Oryctolagus cuniculus: one gene and its partners. The protein of the gene in region 2 purifies or fractionates together with the protein of the main gene of each other region. This does not show direct contact. Links are inferred from orthologs where the notes say so. Each region holds a gene or a part of one and is shown on either strand. Other genes may lie near its edges.

Region 1 (3,642 bases), on a different chromosome or scaffold from region 2:
TCTGGGTCTCGCTTGTGGTTTTGTGCTGGTGCTGGTTAATCAAACATGAGGGCCTAGCCCCTCCCCAGCCCCACTCCCACGTTCTTGGGCCTTCCTTCCTGGCGCTGTGTGCTTTGTGGAAAGCTTCGCGGTGCATCCGTTCTTGTTTGTGTGGCTGCAGTCGGGTTCCTCTTCTAGAACGAGAAGAGCAGCGTCTGCTGGAAAGTGCAGAGCTATCCTGGAGGGACGAGCCCCTCGCCCCGCCCCTCGTGTTCAGGGGCCGGCGCAGGCCCTGGTGCCTGTTGGGCTTCGCTGTGGTTGTGAAATACAGAGGCACCTCCCCCTCTCCCCCAGGCCCTTGGTTCTCACCTCAGAAAGCCCGTGGGGTGGGTGGTGGTGACATCTGTGCAGGGAGGGGGTGGGAAGAGAGTTTGGTTTCCTGGGGCCGAGGCGTCATGAGCAGCCTCCGTGCAGGCCCTGGGCCAGCGGTGACCACCACACTGCCGCGTGGCTTCCTCTCGCGGTGGTCCAGCCTCGCAGTGTGGACTCTGCAGAACGCCTTTTGCCAGATCCTGCTCCTGCAGGCGTCCGGTCCTTTCCTGGCAGGGGCTTTGAGGCCTTGCAGAGATGAGCCGGGGACCCCGGCTGGGCAGTGGGGGTGCTGTTGGGAGAAAGCGTTGGCATTCCGCTCACCCATGAAGGCCGTGCAGAAAGCAGCCTAGCTGCCAGGCGCCGGCCTCTGCGGCCAGCATTCCTGGGCTGCTCGGAGCGCTGAGTCAGCACGTCGGGTGGGTGGGGGGAGCCCGGCACCCCCCCATGCTCTTGTTTCTGTTGTTTTTTCTTTTTTTTACTCTCTCTCCTTGAAAATGTTTTAGTTCTGGTTAGATATTTATAACATGAAATGTACCTTCTCAATCCTTTAAGAAAATTTTTAGAAATTAATTTTGTTGATTTGAAAGGCAAAGAAGCAGAGAGAGGGAGACCTTTTTCCCCTGCTAGGGCTGGGCCAGGTTGAGGCCAGGAGCCAGGAGCTCCATCTGGGTCTCCCACAGAGGTGCAGGGACCCAAGTCCTTGAGCCGTCACCTGCTGTACCCCGGGGTACAGATTAGCAGGGAGCTGGAATGAGCGTGGAGTCAGACCCCAGCGCAGGCATTCCGAGAGGGCTGCCTGTTAACCGTCAGCGCCGCCTTTTTGTACAACCCCCCCATCCCTTTCCAGAAACTTCTCACCTTGCACAGGTGAAACTCTGCACCCATGAAATGCTCACTCCCACTCACCTCTACCCCCGCGCCCCTGTTCTGCTTGTGTCTTTGTGGGTGTGACCACCGTGGGGGTCTCAGGAAGTGGGTCCTCCTGTATTTGGCCTCTTGTGACCAGCTGAGTTGATTGAGCACATTGCCCCTGAGGTTCATCCACATCGTGGCAGGTCTGTAGAACCTTCCAGAGTGGGGGTGGGCCGCGCTGTATTTCCGTGCTCGCCAGCTGGATGCTCACTGTAGGGGTTTTCTACACTTGACCTTAGCCTTGGCGATTGTAGGGGTTTTCTCAGCACCGCCAGCGGCCAGTGTCTGCCGCGCTCTCTGCTCTCCCTCAGTCCACCTGCCCAGGGCCTCACTTCCATCCGAGGGTACACTGGTGTCTGCTCCCAGGCCCTTGTGGCCAGCAGCCCATGCACTCCCTGCAGCTGCTGTTTCAGTCTGTATGTCCCTTTGATTGTTATGATTTTACTCTTAGAGGCAGGGGGCCTCCTGCAGTTGGCTTTGATAATTATCTGCTTTTGTCTTTCTTATTGTGGTGAGCTCTTTGGAGGTGGTCTCCCTGGAAAGATAGCTCCCCTCCCCCCAGGGAGGCCCCAGCGCACTCAGCAGGCCTGGGCCAGCTCCTGCTCCTGCTCCTCTGAGGTTGTCTGAGGGCTGTTTCCTTCAAGGTCAGAGTTCACTCTGGAGCCCAAGGGCCCAGACTGCTCTAAGAGCACCGTGTGCTGTGGCCGCGGGCCAGGGCCGGTGCCGGGCTGCTTTCTCAGCTTTGGGTCAGGGCTGCACATGGACCTGTGTACTGGCACACCTGTACTCACGCTGGCTCTTTCTGTCCAACCAGGTGGAAGAAAAGGCCAAGTTTGATGGAATTTTTGAAAGCCTCTTACCTATCAATGGTTTGCTCTCTGGAGACAAGGTCAAGCCAGTCCTCATGAACTCTAAGCTACCTCTTGACGTCCTGGGCAGGGTAGGTGGCCGTGGGGTCCGTGCCTTCATGTCTGCTCCACCGCCATGCCGGGTCATCACTGTTCTCCCTCCCCAAGGACACTCTCCAGGCCCTGGCTTGGTGCCCAGCCTGGAGCCCCTAGGGCTTCCTGAGTGCAGGGGGATCCAGCACTTGCTACAGCCAGGCTGGCCCAGGGCCACATGAGGTCCAGTCCCGGGGGAAGGCACAGGAGCACGCCCACTTCACAGGTGGGGAGGCAGGCTCAGAATTGAAACCGCGGTGGAGTCCCGGGGTGAGCAGAGCTGGGCCCGGAGCCCAGACCAGCGGCCCCTCCATTGTGCTCAGCGTGGGAGTTCTGTGTCTTCAATCCTTTTTCTTTTCTTTCCTGCTCTTTTTTTCCTTTTCTTTTCTTTTTTAAACTTGAGAGGCAGAGTGACCGAGATTGAGGGAGAGATCTTCTGCCTTGCCAGTTCACTCCCCAAATGTCTGCAACAGCCAGAGCTGAGACAGGCTGAAGCCAGGAGCCAGGAGCTCCACCCCTGTCTCCCATGTGTGTGGCAGGAACCCAAGTACTTGGGCCAATGTCTGCTGTCTCTCGAGCACATTAGCAGGGAGCTGGGTTGGTAATGGAAGATCCCGGACCTCAGTCTCTGGCACTCAGATGTGGAATGCCCACAATCTTTCCTATTTTTTTAAATTAACTAATTTATTTGAGAGACAGAGGTAGACACAGAGAGAGAGGTCTTCCATCCATTGGTTCACTCCCCAGATGGCTGCAGTGGCTGGAACTGCGCTGATCCGAAGCCAGGAGCCAGGAGCTTCTTCCGGGTTTCTGACGCATGTGCAGGAGCCCAAGGACCTGGGCCATTTTCTGCTGCTTTCCCAGGCCACAGCAGAGAGCTGGATTGGAAGTGGAGCCGCTGGGACTCAAATGGACACCATATGGGATGCCAGCGCTGCAGGAGGCAGCTTTAAGTGCTGTGCCACAGTGCTGCCCCCCCCCCTTTATTTATTTGACAGGTAGAGTTATAGACAGCGAGAGAGACAGAGAGAAAGGTCTTCCTTCCATTGGTTCACTCCCCAAATGGCCGCTACGGCCGGCGCTGCGCCGATCTGAAGCCAGGAGCCACGTGCTTCTTCCTGGTCTCCCATGTGGGTGCAGGGGCCCAAATACTTGGGCCAGCATCCACTGCCTTCCCAGGCCACAGCAGAGAGCTGGACTGGAAGAGGAGCAAACCGGGACTAGAACCCGGTGCCCATATAGGGTGCTGGCACCGCAGGCGGAGGATTAACCAAGTGAGCCACGACCCCTTTTTTCCTAGTTTTAACTACTTTTTCTTTTCTGCCTATACAGCTCAAGGTAGAAGAATTTTTTAACTCTGTGGCAAGTTTAGAAAGAATTTCGCACATTTCCTTTAAAAAAAAAGTGCTCAGGTGTGTTCCTGTGAAATGCAGGGTCT
Region 2 (3,642 bases):
GTTGGCATCTCCCATGGGTGGGTCAGCTCCCGTGAGACCATCATAGCATCTCCCTGGTGGGCAATGGGATTTCAAAGCAATGACAGGACCATCACGATTGTTTCTAAACATCCGGGGACTGGGCATTGCAGGCCAAGGAGTCTACTGGGGGCAGCAGGAAGGTAAGAAATAAGAGGATTACATGAGTTCTCAAAAAAAAAAAAAAAAAATACAGACACCGCATGTAGAAATCTGATTTCTAATCATCAGACCCGGGCCCAGAGCCTGGGCGGAGCCAGACTCCCAGCTGAGGTTAGCTGGGGGCTCTGGGAGTTCAGAGACCCTAGAAACCATGATGACACCTGCGGTGAGGGGCAAGGAAGACACAGTCTCGTTTCATAACAGGAGAGGTTGTTTGGGGTGGGGGCAGGATTGTCAAGGATTCCTAGACGCTCTGGGGGCCTGTCTTTGCTGTCCCATTGCCCTGTGGCTGAACGCCAGGGATGCCGAGCGAAGGAACACAAATGCCAGACAGCACCTGCTGCCTCAGGTGGGAGCTCCTCCGAGCACGTGCTGAGCCGCTCCCTACGGCTCATCAAACAACTGTAAGTCCAAGCGGACCACAATCTCTCCTGTGGGGACTTCGTGCAGCAGGAGACACTTTGTAACTGGCCCCTTGGAGCCCTGGTCTTTCTTGATGTCAGCCACACGGATCTCTGTTCGACCCAAGAAATCTGAAAGGAGACAAACACACCGTGCTCACAAGAATCCCTTCTCCTCCAGGCGCGCACCCGCCATCGCAGTCTCCTCGAGAGAAGCTATGCCTTCCTTCCGCTCTGAGCGCTAGGTAGGCCCAACACTGGGGTCTCCACCTTATTCCCTGCGATGTGTCATTATTTTTAATATAACAGCAGCAAACAAAAAGCTTCCACTTAACAGAATAAAGAGCCCTGGGGCCAGCGCTGTGGCAAAGCAGGTAAAGCCACCGCCTGCAGTGCCGGCATCCCAAATGGGCACAAGTTCAAGTCCTGGCTGCTCCTCTTCTGATCTCTGCTATGGCCTGGGAAAGCAGTAGAAGATGGGCCAAGTCCTTGGGCCCCTGCCCCTGTGTGCGAGACCCAGAGAAGCTCCTGGTTCCTGGTTTCAGATCGGTGCAGCTCCGGCTGTTGCAGCCAATTGGGGAGTGAACCAGCGGATGGAAGACCTCTCTCTCTCTCTGCCTCTCCTTCTCTCTGTGTGTAACTCTGACTTTCAAATAAATAAATAAATCTTAAAAAAAAAAAAAAGTTAAGAGCCTTGACTTGGGAGGCAGAGAGTTCTGGCCACATGATTAATATTTAACCAGCTCTGTGACTATCTTTAGGCCAAAACCAACAGCACCTAACTCACAATGAGCTAATTCACACAAGGTAGTAGGAGAGGAAGGCTGCATGGAGCCCTTTAAATCTTGAGGGGGTAACACTGCCCTAAAGCCCTCACTCTTTTTTTTTTTTTTTTTTTTTTTTTTGACAGGCAGAGTTAGACAGTGAGAGAAACACAGAGAGACAGAGAGAAAGGTCTTACTCCGTTGGTTCACCCACCAAGTGGCCAGCGCACTGCACCCATCTGAAGCCAGGAGCCAGGTGCTTCTCCTGGTCTCCCATGCGGGTGCAGGGCCCAAGGACTTGGGCCATCCTCCACTGCCCTCCCGGGCCACAGCAGAGAGCTGGACAGGAAGAGGGGCAACCGGGACAGAACCTGACGCCCCAACCAGGACTAGAACCCGGTGTGCCGGCGCCGCAGGCAGAGGATTAGCCTAGTGAGCCGCGGCGCCAGCCAAGCCCTCACTCTCGTTACTTGTATTTCTTCACAGTCAAGTTGAGGCCATAATCTTTAAGCTTAATCTCTAATTTCTATGGGGTTGAGGCAGAGAGCGACAGTTTCTTAGAATCTCTGGTCAGAGACCATTGTAAAGCAGGCACAGACGCTGGCTAAAAGAATGATGCAACCAACACAATTTTGCTCAAGCAACCCCTTGCCCAAGCAGCCGTGCCTTCCAAAAGGGCACAGATTGCTTCTACTGCCATGGTCATGGGCTCTTCTGCTCCATTAGCATTGGCCAGTTTTAAAATAATAAAAATTAAATATTCTTATTTTATTTGAAATGCATGGAGACACAGAGAGTCAGCCAGAAAGAGAGACAGAGAGAGAGAGCGAGCTTCCACCCACTAGTTCACTCCCCAAATGCCTGCAGCAGCCAGGGCTAAGCCAGCAGCTCCATCTGGGTCTCTCACATGGGTGGCAGGGACCCAAGTCCTTGAGCCACCCTCTGCCGCCTCTCAGGTTGCATAGTGGCAAGAAGACGGATCAGAAGTAGAGGAGCTGGGCCTTGAACCAGGCACTCCAGTATGGGACGTGGGTGTCCCAAGTGACATCACCACCACAGCGCCAAGTGCCAGCCGCTCCGTATCAGCGTGGCTTTGTGCCAGGGATGACAGAACTACACTGAAACTCCTAGGTACACCCCTGTTGGCAGCTACCTGCTCTGGACAGCCCAAGACTGTGACGCAAATCCAAGACAAGGACACTGTGTCTGTGCACCGGGCTGCACCTGCTGTGCATGAAAGCCTTATCTTGGGCCAGCCTCATCATTTGAGAGAGAAATCCAAGCCACTCTGGGCATCGCATCCCCAGGAGAGGAGGCGTCCGCCCGCACAGGCTGAGTGATGGGGAAGGAGCAGCGAGCTATGAGGCACGCCCGCGACTCACCATCGGGTGAGAACTGGTCCCTCTCGAACACGGTGATGCACAGGACTTCCTGCTCCAGGTCTCTGATGAAGAACTGGCAGTTGGAATTCCACTTGGGGTTCAGGGTGTCCTGGATCGTCTTGGTGATGTGGCACTGGGAGCCCATGGTCACCTCGCAGTAGGGGTTGCTCTTTCCTGGAAGGCACAAAACCCTTCACCAGGGCGGGAGCCACAACTCATCCCGCTCCATCACCACGCGGCCTACGTGGCCTCACATGGAGAAGCTGGGCGAAAACACACAATTCAGCACCACGCTTCAGACAGGGAACCGACCAGGGCATCCATGGGCTTACGAACCAGAGCCCTCCCAGGCAGGCTCCGAGTGTGCCACAGCCACTGGGTGTGAATGCAGCCACGCGGACCTTCCCGGACAGCAGAGCGAACAGCTCCAGGGAAGACTGCAACAGCCGCATGGGCCACCGGGGCCGCGCAGGTCCTCACCGTGTGACCGGCAGGGCTTCAGCTCAATGCCCTCTACCACGTTCACCATCAGCCTTCCAATGCCCGTTGCCCTCTGGGACCGCACTGGAACAGCAGAGGGAAAAACATAGCACAGATGCACAGATGCTTCACCCTTAGCCTGGACACCTGCCCCGCCCTCCACCCGTGCTCCAGCATCCCAGCCTGCACCCTGTGCCCAGCCATCTCACGACCTCCCCGCTGCCCCCAGGAGCCTGTCCCAGCTCTAAGGGATCTGAGCCTGGCCAAACGGCTGCCCCACGGCAGCGTGGCCAGAGCCCGGCCCGCGGGAGTTACCCAGGTAAGCCTTCTCCCGCTTCTTCTTCTCCGTCTCTATGTAGAGTTCAGAGGCAGCTTTGATCTTCTGCACCCAGGCGGTCCTTGAGCGGGAAAAGACACAAAGTTGCCAAACAACAC
Region 3 (4,084 bases), on a different chromosome or scaffold from region 2:
AATATTTGTTGAGACAAGTATTTAGCCTAGCAGTTAAGACACCTACATCCCGTATCAGTGTCCCTGGGTTCAATACCCAGCTCCAGCTCTTGACTCCAGCCTCTCACTAGTGTGGCTCCTGGCCTCCCCATGGTGATGACTTAAGTGGTTGCTCTCTGGGACCCAAAGTGGGAGACTCGGATTGGGTTCCTGGATCCCGCTTTGGTTCAGTCCAGCCCTGGCTGTTGTGGGCACTTGGGGGAATGAACCAGCAGGTGAGAGCTCTGCGTCTCTCAAGAAATAGTAAAAAGAAGATAATTTAAATATATATTTGTTGAATGAATTAACCTACTCCAAAGCCATCACTATCTCATGACCAGAGACAAAAACTAACTTCATTATCTGTTTAATCTTCCTAATTTTCAGTCACTCATACAATAGCTATATTAATGGCTTTCTTCCAGGTAGGCACTCAGATGAATTTTAAAATGTCCCTTCCCTGAAAGCTCTCTCACTTGACTATGCCTATATCTAAGTATGTGAGTTGAAACAGAGGGTGATGTAAAACAAATCAATTATGAATGCAAAACGAGGTCACACTGATATCTCTGTTACTGAGTTCAAAAAAAAAAAGTTAAAAAAAAGCACTAAAATTAATTTAATTTTTTAAACTTAAAAACTATATATCTGCCAAGCTTTGAAATAATGAGGCATATTGAGAAATAGTAACAAATTAGGTTCTTCTTTCCTTTGCTTCTATAATATACTATCTTAGTATCTAAAAAATCAAAACATTCTAAATTGACATTTGAGTTATCAATGTCAGCCACCAATATATGTTCTCTCATTTGTAAAACCTTGAAGGGTAATTACTGATTCAGTATTTAGTCAGTGCACAAGTAAATACCTAAATATATAGCCATAAGAACATATGTGATTTATTTAAGTGACTATAAAAATGACAGAGCTTGAAGCAAACCCCTAGAGATGAACCATAGTAAACAGAAACTAAAAACACAGTATTACCCAGGGAGAGAATAAATGCACACAGCTGAGAAGCCACTTTACAGAAGTTGCTCAAAGAAGAAAATCTGCAAGAGGAGAAAAAGCCTTGCCAGAATTGGCCAACTCGGTCACAAAAAAAACAGCTTGCCAACAAGGGATCTTGTTTAATGCAAGTCACTAACTAGACTCACAGAAAGTCAACACCCCAAGTCAGTGTTTCCAGGCCTCGAATTTGAGTTTCAGGAGGACCCTCCCACAGAGATTCAAGATTAAACCACCACACTCCGTGGTAAAAGAAGTCTGCCCTGTTATCACCTGCAGAAACAGAATAACCAACATCTGATAGAAGTCGGCAATGAGTGTCACTTATGAGACCTAGAATTCCTGCAAGCTAAAGTTAGTTACTTCACACACTCACGTTTGACTGCAGGTTCTGGGGAGTGCTAAGGAGAACACCCCAAGCCTCCGGATCCCAATACAGAAAACTTTACTGTCCAAATGTACCTTCACCCCAGTGTTAAAGCCTGTGATGCATAGACAAACCTAGGCCCAGGAGACTGCAAGATGGCAGGAAGGCTGGGGTGGGCCCTGCTGGCAAGCACACAGCTACCAGCTCTGGAGAGAACAGGCAGAGGTGAGATCCGGGCCAGTTTTGAACAGAGGAGCAGGAAGGGACTGACAGGTGTCTGTCACCTCGTCATTCTGGCCACAACAGGAAGATAATAATTGGCTTCCTTTACAGAGAGGGAGAAACTAGGTTCCCACGGTGAATGATGTTCAGATTTTCTGTGAAGCACAAGGACTGGGCTCCGAAGGCAGCAAGAAGGCAAGAGGAACGACCAGAGTACAGGTTTTGGTGAAAATTTCCGCCCAGGACAAGTGATCTCCCAGGCAGGTCTGAGCACCCCGCCAGGCGGAACCACCACACCTGTTACTGGGTGGCTCCCTGTTATCCGCTCGGACAGCGATCAGGAGAACCCCCGGGTGTGAGTGGAAGCCGGCTTGGGTAGGGAACGACGGAGTCGGGGGTCTGACCCAGGACACCAGATCAGGAGGGAAGAGGCTGAATCCAGGAAGAGAGCGAGCAAAGCTGAGAGGGAGGCTAAGAAGAGTTTGAAAGCGAAGCCGAGTGCAGGAAAGTGCCAGGCAAAGGAGGGCTTTCGCTGAACTCCGGTGGGGAAAGGCAGGTTAGCGAGGGGAGCCTGCCCCTGAACAGGCTGAGCGTCCGGCCGCGGAAGGCCCCCCCCCCAACTCGGGGAGGCGCGCCGCCCGGCCCAGAGGGCGAGCCTCGTGCGACCCGGGGCTGGCGCTGCCCCGCGCGAGCTCCACAGGAGCTCACCTGGCCTGGGAGGAGGAAACTTTCCGGGTGGGGGAAAGCCGAGCGGAGCGAGCGAGGCCCGCGCCGGCTGAGCGCGGCTGGGGGCACCGTCCACTCAGCGGCCGCACCGGGTGGGGCCGGGGGCGCCGACCGACCCGGGGCGGGGCCGCGGCTGCAGCCGGCGGAGCTCCGGCTCGGGATGGCGTCCTCCCTCAGTCACACGCACGCTCTCGCTCTGACACACCGGCCGTCCGGCCCGAGAGCCGAGAGACGCTGCCCGGGTCGGCCCAGCGCAGGGCGGTGGGGGAGGGGGCCGGGGACACCGGCCGGCCGAGCCCGGAGGACAGGCGGGCGGGCGGCGTTACCTGTGTCAGGGAGAGCTGGGCTGCCGCAGCCATGGTGTTTCCATCATGCACGGGAGGGGAAGGAAGGACGGGCGGCCGGGGGCTCGGGGCGGGGAGGAGGCGGAGGGAGCGGCCGTAGGCGAGGCCCGGGCGGGCGTCTCCCCTAACTTCGACAACTTCCCTCCTCACGCCCGCCCCGCCCCGCCTGGCCCCGCCCGCCGGCCCGCCGGCCCGAGCAGGCCGCGGCGGCGCCCAAACCCTGGCGCTGGAGTGCGAGCCGCCGGACCAGAGCCGGCCTGCCCCCGGGCCGGCCTGAGAAAACCCGGCGCGGATAAATTAAAGCGGACGGGCTGCGAAGGGGAATCCAGATTGTCCTGTGACCCTCAGGCCGGTCACCTACCCGCTCTGAGCTCCTGCTTTTGAATCATGGCAGAAATTACCCGCGGTCCGGGCTGCCTGTGAGGACGAAATGAGGTAAAGATACAAAATAATAGCACTTTGTATATGCCAGGCCCTGTACTAGATGCTTTATTTTTGAATTATATGAATGAGTGAACTAAAACACACATCAGTGCCTGCCAGGAGGTCGTGCAGCTGATTAGATTTCTGCCTTCTTTGGTTTAAGCATCTGCCATTATATTGAAAAAAAAAAATCGTTCCCTCCGGAGCCAAAGTTTACTTAGGTAAAGGAGGGCTTTCCTAGCCTGCTGCCTGTCACACTTGGATTGCTCAGGTGCCTGCAGCACTGCTCACGGCTCCAGTACGTAGTCCACCTGGCAAACTCCTCCTCCTTTCCCAGGACACACTCAAGTATTGCCTCCTTTGCAAAGTCCCTTCTCTCTCCTTTTTTATTTAATTTTTTAAAATTTTTATTTACTTGAGAGGCAGAGAGAGAGAGAGAGAGCGCTCTGATCTGCTGGCTCACTCTCCAAAGGCCTGCAAAGTAGGGATTGGGGATGCCAGGAACTCAATCCAGGACTTCCATATGGGTGGCAGATAACCAACTACTTAAGCCATCACATCCCAGTGTTTGTATTAGCAGGAAGCTGGAATCAGAAGCCAGGAATTGAACCCAGGCACTTTCATGTGGCATTAGGTATCCTAATCAACAGCTTAACTAACAGGCCCAACATTCATCTCTCTCTCTCTCCCTCTCTCCTTTTTAAACTTCCTTCTTTACCTGATGAAGCCATCATCACCCTAATGAGTATTTATACCTGCCTACCCCTCTCAATTAAGAACTCCTTAATGGCAAAGACTTTTTTTATATATTTCTACATCCTTAGATCATAGCATTGTAGTAAGTGATCAGTGAAGGCCTTAGTTCTACCTAGTTTAAACATAACACATCCTATGTACACTTATTCATGCTGCTACCTTCAGTTGGAATAACCAACCAGTTACTTGAAATTCTTGTCTTCAGAGGCTGGACTTATAT

The links.
Region 1: the proteins of ITSN1 (region 2) and EPS15L1 purify together in Homo sapiens (affinity purification with mass spectrometry; 4 studies listed by BioGRID and IntAct, with this or other methods). This does not show direct contact. The link is inferred for Oryctolagus cuniculus from reciprocal best matches to the Homo sapiens genes ITSN1 and EPS15L1.
Region 3: the proteins of ITSN1 (region 2) and EPS15 purify together in Homo sapiens (co-immunoprecipitation; 3 studies listed by BioGRID and IntAct, with this or other methods). This does not show direct contact. The link is inferred for Oryctolagus cuniculus from reciprocal best matches to the Homo sapiens genes ITSN1 and EPS15.

The regions. Positions count from the first base shown.
Region 1 is NC_091447.1:64,836,337-64,839,978, reverse strand, and holds part of EPS15L1 (epidermal growth factor receptor substrate 15-like 1), read left to right. Parts: intron 1-2,077; coding exon 2,078-2,203; intron 2,204-3,642.
Region 2 is NC_091435.1:11,143,033-11,146,674, forward strand, and holds part of ITSN1 (intersectin-1), read right to left. Parts: intron 3,606-3,642; coding exon 3,523-3,605; intron 3,292-3,522; coding exon 3,208-3,291; intron 2,902-3,207; coding exon 2,728-2,901; intron 714-2,727; coding exon 565-713; 3' UTR 1-564. UniProt on the Homo sapiens protein: Adapter protein that provides a link between the endocytic membrane traffic and the actin assembly machinery. Acts as a guanine nucleotide exchange factor (GEF) for CDC42, and thereby stimulates actin nucleation mediated by WASL and the ARP2/3 complex.
Region 3 is NC_091438.1:121,418,404-121,422,487, reverse strand, and holds the start of EPS15 (epidermal growth factor receptor substrate 15), read right to left. Parts: upstream 2,803-4,084; 5' UTR 2,701-2,802; coding exon 2,668-2,700; intron 1,071-2,667; exon of another isoform or gene 1,006-1,070; intron 1-1,005. UniProt on the Homo sapiens protein: Involved in cell growth regulation. May be involved in the regulation of mitogenic signals and control of cell proliferation. Involved in the internalization of ligand-inducible receptors of the receptor tyrosine kinase (RTK) type, in particular EGFR.